Linked DNA regions of Drosophila melanogaster. The protein of the gene in region 1 purifies or fractionates together with the protein of each later gene. This does not show direct contact. Each region holds a gene or a part of one and is shown on either strand. Other genes may lie near its edges. The genes, in order: CG5790 and chif.

The links.
Region 2: the proteins of CG5790 (region 1) and chif purify together in Drosophila melanogaster (affinity purification with western blotting, with the first as the bait; one study listed by BioGRID). This does not show direct contact.

What each region holds. Positions count from the first base shown.
Region 1 is NT_033779.5:18,292,722-18,297,906, forward strand, and holds CG5790 (uncharacterized protein), read left to right. Parts: upstream 1-2,118; 5' UTR 2,119-2,427; coding exon 2,428-4,425; 3' UTR 4,426-4,626; downstream 4,627-5,185. UniProt on the Drosophila melanogaster protein: Probable serine/threonine protein kinase that forms a complex with the N-terminal peptide of the chiffon protein and may be involved in regulating meiotic processes in the male testis.
Region 2 is NT_033779.5:16,349,519-16,354,525, forward strand, and holds the start of chif (chiffon), read right to left. Parts: upstream 3,111-5,007; 5' UTR 2,509-3,110; coding exon of another isoform or gene 2,409-2,508; intron 766-2,408; exon of another isoform or gene 469-765; intron 1-468. Other genes in the region: Hyls1 centriolar and ciliogenesis associated, read right to left, coding at 2,409-2,508; CG4455 (uncharacterized protein), read left to right, coding at 3,577-3,616, 3,695-4,035. UniProt on the Drosophila melanogaster protein: A bicistronic gene producing two proteins that are components of different complexes and have separate properties and functions.

The DNA.
Region 1 (5,185 bases):
ATAATGTAAAATAAAATAAAATAATAATGTAAAATCTGTTAGTTTCTGAAAGCAACAAAAAATCAAAATTAAACAAAGCAATAAAACAAAGCAGCTAATATTGAAGTCAAATTTATAGATGATATTCTGATTTCTAATTTCTGGTATTGTAGTTAATTGTAAAGGCCAAAGGAAATGTAAGAAGTCCTTGCATTGCTTATCCTAAAAAATTAAATCTAACTTTGTATACCTCATGCCTCATTACCAAGGCATTTGCAACAAGCGTTTCGGGCCAACCTATTTGTACACGGCAATCTAAGCAAATCGTTTTGTCGAGCTTAATTTGCAGTTTGCCACCAAACGAGTGTCTAACCTGGAACCCGAGCTGGCGAGGAGTCCTTCGCACTCGGCTCCTCGTGGCCATCAAGGCTAATCCCAACTGACTTGGTTGGAAAAGTTTCCGTTTGGCGCTTGCCACGACGGAAGGCGCCAAGGAAATTCGGTCAAAGGGAGTTTCGCTTGATGAAGAAGTCGTTGTCGGTGGGTGGTGGAACTCACATCTCTATCCACTCTGAAATCTCCATTGAGCTGTGGGCGGTTGGGGGGTAAGCAGCCAAGTGTTGTTCTGCATTGTGTTTTGGCCATTCAAGAATTCCCGGAGCCAACTCCAAGTCTCATTGGGCCCGGGCGCAATTGACAATAGTTTTGCACAAACTTCGAAAAGGCCAGTTGCACTTGACTGCCGGCAATGAATAAACAGGAGGTCCTGGGTCCGGAAGAACGTGGCTCGAAAAGCGGGGAAAATCCAAATGAAAACAGCGCCAAGGAAAGCATTGGGTAATTGTAATTCCCGCTCTTACATAAATGCCAGTTAACCAGTTTGCCTTGTTGGGCAATTACTTTGGTCCTGGCGATGTAGCCTCTTCGGTTCTCAAAACTTTCGTAATGACTGAACACATTAATTTCCCATTTATATTTTCGACAGCCAAATGGCTTTCTAAAAGGGCAAACTTAACTGCCAATGCCACAATTGATTTACACAAATTTAATCAGCTGTGTATACACAGTAGGAAAAGATCTACTGCCTATTACTGTAGATGCATAAAAATTGATGAAAAAAGCGCTTGAGCAAATATGATATTAATTAATTAGTCATACTAGTCGGCAAGACCCATTGTGAATTTGCTTTTTAAAGACGGCATCTTGGTGCCATAGGTGGACAGGGGGTACCCATTAGTACAAAGGCTGAAAGGTAAACGAATTATTTATTAGATTATTATTTAATTAAAAATACATACAACCAATGATAAGATACAACAAACTCATAATGATTTTATCTAGCGATCTGCTTTTAGTAATGAGGTACCGATCTTCGGTATTTATAGATCAACAAAATTAGTTCCGGATAATTACATTATTAGTAATGAAATTCTGAAAAATGTCAAATGTCTTTGTAGTTTTTAAAAGTTCATTGCACCATTAAATATTCATGTAAAAGTCATGTCAAATTTGGAAATGTATATTTCTTGCAAATATAATGTATTGTTATATAACAGTAATAAATAAACTATATTTTCCTTTACTCATAGGGAACACCTTATTTCCCAAAGCAAAATCCAATGAACAGTTGAAAAAGTATACCTCTCTGCTTGAAATAAATTCCCTGTAAACGAGTGAAATGAAGCAGCAGGACATTTAGACATAGCTTAGTTGCTCCCAATGTTTCAGCTGTTGCCGCGGAAAACTTTGAGCATCAAGTGAAAAACAAGTGGACAGGCAGCTGTTGTTGACACCGCCCTTTTTTAGACGGGCGAAACTTTGCCTAAAATGGGTGGACACTTGCAGGATCCACTCCTGCGAAGGTAAACTGCACGCGTCTGAAAACAAAAGCAAGCATGTTGCCGCTAGGTGGCGACACCGTGCAGACAATTAAACGCAACAACAGCCACATCTGCCATAGATTTTGCATAACAACAAAGCCAAAAAGAGTGCGGAAAATTTGAGTAGTGTGATAGAGTTAGTTGCCATAAATACATCATGGGAGAAGAAAGGCTTTGATCAACTGCTCAATGGACCCCTTATTAGTCGAAATATGCAGCACCATTCAAGGCACCAATAAAGTTGTTGGAAAAATCATTTCATTAAAGCAAAAGCTTTGCTCTTGTTGTCAAATAATGATTAGGAAAAAACACAAATACGTAGTCTTTATTTAGTAGCTGATCATTTTTCTAACACCAAATTCGGAAATAAAAGCCCCCGAATACATTCGAAATTATTGTGTTCATACCGCGGTTTACCGCACCAGCTTAATAGCGCTGAGCCCCAGAAACAGACCAAGAAATCGGCATTAAAGATAAACGGTTATAGGCCAAAGTTGAAAGATAAGAACTATTGGGACCATTCGTCTAGACCGTGGGCTGTAAATGGCTAGCGCATGTGCTTAATGAAATGGACAAGAAAGAAGTTCAACATCACCGCAGTCAACAGGCGATGACAAAATCTCTATACGCCATTGGGATGGGTCTTCTGGGAAAGTCGGCGACCAACATGGATTGTGCTAATACGAATTTAGAATCGGCAGGGAAGAGCTCCTCAACGAATTATAACAGAAATCGGTTCTACAACGAAAGGTTCGTTCCGATGGCATCCGGAACTATGCCTTCCGTTTCGGGCACTAACCATCATTCTAGGCATCAACAGCTCCTTCTCCAACAAGCTCCCAAGTGCACTGCCGATCTCAACGAGAAATTAGTAAAAATCAATCGGCAAAACGCCAATAAGGAGCTATCCACCATTCAGGCAAAGGATATGCAATCCGTTGATAAAAACGAAGAGGCCCTAAAAGAATTGCAGGAGAGCATTCCGGAAATCAACAAAATCTTCGATGTGCACTGTCGCATCGGCAGTGGAACCTTCAGCACAGTTCTCTTGGGAACCCTGCAGCGGGAAAGGGGTCTCGTGGAAACCCAAAGGAGGAGATTCGCCATCAAACATCATAATCCCACAAATCATCCGGAGAGGATTCTTAGAGAGTTGGAGTGCATGTATCGCATTGGTGGAGTGGAAAATGTAATCGGAATTAATTGCTGCATTAGATATAACGACAACGTGGCCTTTATCATGCCCTATATGACCCACGATCGCTTTCACGACATTTACAGAAGCCTGAATTTCCCAGAGATACGCGACTATCTGAGGAACTTGCTCATTGCGCTGCGACACGTTCACAAGTTCAATGTGATTCATCGGGACGTCAAGCCAAGTAACATTCTTTATAACCGCAGGACCGGAAAGTTTTTACTCTGCGATTTCGGATTGGCTCAAAGGATAGCCGATGATGGTAGTGTAGTGCAGTCGAGTGATCTCAGCTCCCGGGAAGTATTCTCCATTCTGAGGGACCTGGAGAATGGTAGAAGTGTGACGTTGACGGATGGCAATTCAGCCCAAGCCGAGGCTGAGGATTATATGGCCCGTCGAAGGATGCGGGCTCTAGGTGGCGGTGGGAGCGTGGAACGTGCTGTGACTGGACCTCCGAGTATACAGAAACTACGTGAGCAAGCGGGTGGACATTTGACCAAAAAGGATGTGGCCAACCAGAGGGCTGACACCATGAGGCTGCTGAACCGCCTGCGACTCGTGAGCCCAAATGCGGATCCCAACAACTACGTGGTCTCCACGAACACCTCGAAGAAGGAGATGCACGCTTCAAGGGCTGGAACCCCAGGATACAGACCCCCGGAGGTTTTGCTCCGATATCCCAAACAATCCACTGCGGTGGACGTGTGGGCGGCTGGCGTTATAATGCTCTCTTTGCTCTCTGGTCTTCATCCATTTTTCAAGGCCCCCCACGACTGCGGCGCCCTGGCTGAAATAATCAACCTATTTGGCGATATGCCAGTGCGGAAGACTGCCTTTCTGCTGGATAGGCTGATTTTGCTGGCGCAGAAGGTGAACACCTTGGATTTACGGAGGGTGTGCATGCGATTTCGCCATGCGGACTTCTTTCTGGCCCCCGAAATACAACGTAAATATCAAAGGCCCGATGGCACCACCGAAATGTGCCGCAGCTGTGAGCAGCCCACGTTTAATTGCCTGTGCAGCAACAGTGGGCATAATTTGGAAAGGTACGATGGGCTGGATATATTTCCCGCAGTGGCCTACGACTTGTTGTCCCGTCTGCTGGAAGTTAATCCCCAAAAGCGTATCACCGCCGAGGAGGCCCTAAAGCATCCGTTCTTCAGCGATCAGCATCGCATTACGCCGGGAATACCGCTGCACCAGCAGCAGCTTATAATGCACCAGCAGCAGCATATAATGCAGCATCAGCAACACCTCCAGAGATCCAGAGAGACACTTCCTTCGTCGGCGGCGCGAACTCTAAAGGCATTCGTATGCTATCCCATGGAAATTACTTCTACTGCGTCACAGGCAGCGGGTAACATCTGACTCTGATCTCCGATTATCTTTGTGTGTATCCTGCCTTCTTTATAACCAGATTGAGAGGAAGAATGCATTTACCGCGGCCACCTGTGGGCATCTAAAATTGTATTGTGCACAAACCAAAAAAAAAAAAAAAACGAAATTTTTATATGGAAGCTGCGAAATGTTCCCGAAATTAACATTAAAAATAAAATGTATATTTATGTTAATTTATGGTATTTATGTTTATTCAAAATTAATCGAGGCACTTTAGCATTTCCGGTATCTTTCTTCTTTAATTATTTTTATGCGTTTTAACTTTATCATTTTCTATCTAATGTTTGTTTTGCTCAAAAATGAAGAACAACGGGAATCAATGCTGTTAAGGGTAATAGAAATCAATTAAAAATTAAAAAAAATAAATAAAGACATTCTAAAAAATAATTTTTATTTGATATATATAAATGAGGATTTTTTGTCGATAAGCGCCATATAGATCCCATATCTATCATTGAATTCTGAAAGGCCATCTTCTGTAGTCTTTCAATTTTACGAATGTCGTAATCTCTTTCTGCCTTCAAATGATCTAATGGCAATCAGGTTTTCTTTTATTTAATATTTTACCCGACAGCCATTTTCTCGATTGGCTTTTCTAAGGCCTGAACCGAGGAAAAATTGTCCTTTTGTCTTATCAATTTGCATTATTGACGCTTACAACAAACTTTATTTTGTTGTTGCTCACAAAAAGGTTATGGGAATCTTCCCTTTTGGGTGAGTAATTTTTTCG
Region 2 (5,007 bases), 1.9 Mb from region 1:
ACGCCATTAATTAAAATTTATTTTGAAGAGCTGAGCTACAGTCGAATTTTAACAAATTAAAGCTTTGGCAATATTCTACCAAATTCACAAAGTACAAAATAACTGTATGCTTTATGTAGAGTTAAATTTAATGAAACTTAAGATTTTACCATTGCACTCAAAAATAAATTTAAAAATCAGACCATAAAAATGATTATTTACAAAAAAAAAAAAATTGAACTTAAGTAATATTAATTTCCAACTTATTACATCCAAATACGTTGTACATGTTCTTATAAAATGTTTCAGTAACACAAATATTTAAAAACATTTTATTAAAAACAAGAACCACTCCTATAAAGTTTCCCTCCAATTTTAGTTGGAACAAAGTTATACCAGTCTAAAGCTGTAGTTATAACCATTGATATAATTGGTTTAGTTTTTAATTTTTATTCAAAATTCGACCGTAGCTGGAAATCCAACACCAACCGCGTTTTAAACTTGTTTGCCACGAAAAATGATATAAAAACAAATAAATCACTGTGGGGGAAATCCTACTCCCGGTGGTTCTTCTTCCTCTTGTTCCTTGTACGTTTCCCGATGTGTGTTATGCAATGTTGCATTCGGATACACACAAATCAAATCAATAACTGCACTTGGATGCATTTCGGTATGTATTGCCTAAAAGGCCATCGAGTGTTAAGTGTGAGTTAATTTATTTTAATTCCAAACTAAATGGAACACAGAAACACGACCCAAGCGGGTGGAAGAAGAAGAAGCAGCAGCTGTGCTGCAGCATAGCGCTGCCAGGTCGGGGGGCTACGCTTAGCGAGGCGTTGCCAGCACGCGAAAAAATTAGGGGTGACACAGCTGCAACATAATTGTACTGTATTGTTGCATTTGATTAAAAACCAGTTATATTTACAAAACAGGCACGAAAAAACAAATGTGGAAGAATAGCGATTCAAGAAAAAAAACAGTTGGTGATGACACTTATTCTTAATCACTCATACTAACCTCGGCTTGTATATAAGCTCTATTTAATAAATTGTACTTTCTTTATTTATACTATTATTATTTAATTTTATAAAGTCAACCCTAACAAATATAATTATGCATCTTATCGTTGTATTTCTTGCTAATTTGCGCAATATGGCTTATCACATTCCATTCATATTTGTTGTTTTGGTTTTTTACGTCTCCCAAAAAAACAATGCGAATGAGCTGACAAAGCCATAATGGCCGATGACCGATATTAAACTCATAATGACAATTAGTCCGGCAACCCTGCCGTTCACAGTACTAACACATTCGTAAATACTTGCAAATAAATTGTATGCCTAGCCAATATGCACTGACGCGCGTCAATATATATATAACCTGAAAAACGAGCACATCAGCGCTGCGCTGGCACTTTTTCTGCCCTCGCTTTATATTTGCCATTACAAAACGAAACGTTGGCGCAAAGAGAAACGAAAGAAACCCTAGTGGCAACCCTCAAGCGGTAGCAGTAGCAACAACAACTAAGGAAAAATAAGAAAAAGAGTAGGAGCACACAAGGAGTAAAGCGAAAAATAACACGAAAAACGCACAAAACACAAAAAGAGAGTGGAGGGAAAAAAACAACACACACACACAATTCATACAGTTGCGGTGGAAATTATAGCACTTTCAATTTAAAATAACCGAAATAGACATTTTAATGAGTGTAATGAGTTTTGTGCATTAGGTAAATAAAATATATTCCGTAAGACAATTTTTCTATTAATATTACAAATTCAAATTGCACATCGACATTTCCCTAACGCTTTACCCGCTGCTGTATGCGTACATATGTATGTTTGTGGATAAAATTCATGTGAAGTTGCGGATGAAGCTTACAATGTGGTGGAGGCCGAAACACACGAGCAAACGCAGAAAAGCAGGCCCAGGGCAGCAGCAACAACAACTATGACTAGCAAGCCAAGTACAAAAAACACACAGAACAGTGGGGTCACAAGAGCCGTGTGTTTAGGATTTCCACTGAAATGTATTTATGCCACAGTACGTGAACCTTGCCAAAGCAGTTTTCCTTCGATGTCGGGCCGGCCTTTATTCGATTATTCCTAAATTTTTGGTCCGAATGAATTTTGTTGCTGCAAACCACTGTGCCATGGGTATGTATAGTGTGTTATTCACAATTTCCAAGTAATACTCGTTTTTATATTTTCTTTTTTCCATTGCTCCGTATTTCTGCCTGTGCCGCTGCTCTTTTTCTTGTCTGTGCTTTGTACGCACGTTCGTTTTGGAAATAAAAACAAATTGAAATGGTGACGAATCGTTTGAAATTCAGTTTGAAAAGCCGCAACCAAAAAAAATTGTGCATACAAAATAACAAACCAAAAACAATCCCACACACACACGCACGCACACTTGTACGGATTGCTTACCTTTTAGAAATTCACGGAGTTGCTCGGCTGATATGTTCCTATAGCCCAAATCATTTAGATACTGGAGAATGGCCCGTGCATCTAGTGGCAAATGTGACATTTTACTTTTCGCCAAGTAGAGCAATCGTTCTTGATATTCGTATTGTTAATTATTTTTTGTTTATATTCCACCCTCACACATACACACGCGCGCGCACTCGAGCACATACAAACACACACACGAATGCAAAATCGCCGTTCGTTTGGTTTCTCTTTCTCGTTTGTTTCGTTCGCTTCTTCTTCCTTTTGTTCGTATTCGTCTTCGTGCGCCGACAATCGACCAATTTTCACTGTACTTTTGCTCTGCGTTGGCCGTTTTTGAGTTTATACTTGCATTTACTTGCGTCAAGTTAATCAGTTGCAATGACTAAATATACACAACTGTATGGGAACGATCGGTATAAGCGTCTATATGCCTTCGTTCGCCCGTCGTTCGTTTGCTAACGCCTTTGTTATTTTTATGCCTTTTATCAGGTTTTCGCGGTCGGATGGTCGCCAATTCGATTGTGCACGCACAGTTCGAGTGTCGAAATTGGGCCTTTTCTTATTTTCACATATTTCCTCGCTAGTTTTATAACAATTTTCACCAATTGAAAATAAAGTGTACACGGACAGGGCAGCGCACACACGCTCGGCAACCAAATTTTCGTCGTGTTATCGATAACTATGTTGGCTGGCGATGGTCGATGGTTGCTAAGCGGCGTGACTGAGTCGCGGTCACATATCGTTTTAAGGGAAAAAGTCACGGATTAGCAGTTTTAAAAAAGGTCTAGTTTAATATTGATTCGTTTTTCGTGACGAGAGACATTAATTATTCATTGAATTTATTTATTTCATTTAAAAATATACACTAACGTACTTACAATTTTGTTAACATGAATCTATGATATATACCATAAATTTAAAATTTGTAATTGCGATTTGAAACATCGACAGCGATGGCTATCTTCATGTATCGATAGGCAACGACAGTCCGTCCCTACCAGCAACGCGAAAGGTTTTTGTCTTGCTTTCTTGTTGCTTTGTGTGATTCTCGAGTCTCTGTTCTGCGTCTGCGTCCCGTTCTCGTGCCAACGAACTGATTTCGCCCCGCGTTCGTGCTCAATCGTAAATTCGAAATAAATTAAAAATGTCTCGCAGTTCGTACCTGTTGTGTGTGCTGTTTTTAGGTGAGCGAAAGAGAGGGAGAAGAAATGAAGAAATCGCCTCGCGATCAGATTTTACGGATACGCATCTCGTTATTGCAGGCGCCAGCTGCTTGGTTTTCAGTGCGAGTGCAGCGCGGAACAATCGAAGGGGTTACAAGGCCACGGAACCGCCCACCACCACCCAGCCCCCGCAGACGGCCAAGGAGTATCTGGATAGTCGACCCGGAATCTCCACATTCGGCATCATCGCCATCATCTTCACCGTAATCGTTCTCTGCCTCGTCTTCTACTACGGCATCATTTGCTACCCCTTACTCTGTCGCGATGACAAGAAATATCGGTTTATGGACGTATCTTCAACCATTACTGCCGCCACATCGCGCTCCATTCAATCCATAGAGAACTATCCCGACCAGAAACACCATCATACGTTGGCCTGATTCGGGGTGTGGACACCTGGAGGATAGTGGTTTAGTAGTACTTCAATTTAGTAACGCGAAAAAGACTTAAATGCCAGCCAGAAACGAAAACCCATTAGTATGACTACAGATTTAGGTCCTAAGTTTTAAAAAGAAATATCTCGAATTTTATCTCTATATACCCTTCGCATTACTGGAAAGTAATTACTTTTTTAACATATTCGAAGTTCCGAAATGCTCTGAAAGAATTTTCCCATATTTTGACCGAATTTCGTAACAAAGCAGTACTACACATAGCAATAACCAGTTGAGGAGTTCGCTGGAAAGGGAATTAATCATTCATAATTGTAAATTGGGTTTCCTACGCATCCCCGACTGTTTCTTTATCTGTTGTTTCTCTTAATCCCGGGCTCAACAAGTTTGGCCTGTCCTCTGGCCCTTTTTCCTTGTCCCTCCTGCATCTTTGGCCTTTTTTTATTTCTTTTAATGCAGGTAGTTTTAGCCGTTTACTCACCGCTTTGTTCTCTGTTCATTTTTTTTGTGGGACAGAGCCAAATTGTGGCAATTGAGTCACGTTGCCTGGTTGTTTCTTTCGAAATCCAAGGGAATTTAGCGATCTTTTTTATACCGTCTTCACGCAACCCAATTTGCATTAAGAATCCGAATCGTACTAACAGACGAACTCTTCGTGATGCCTCGAATTTTGCACTACATTTTAAAACGCCGATTCCCGTCCCTTTATATACACAGGTTGTACTTAAATCGAAACCAAGTACTTAATAATTGTACCATGCCAATCATAGTTTAAGCGCCAATCTGCCGCCACGAATACATTTAAGAAATCTTCAGTTTGTGCATTTAGACCAGCATGAGTATCCTTCTATATATTGTGTCAAAAAAAACGTTTTTAGACGTTATATAGCATTAAGTCTATCAAAGTTTATATACAAATCTTTTTGGACATTTTTATGTGAGTTTTACATAAAATAAATG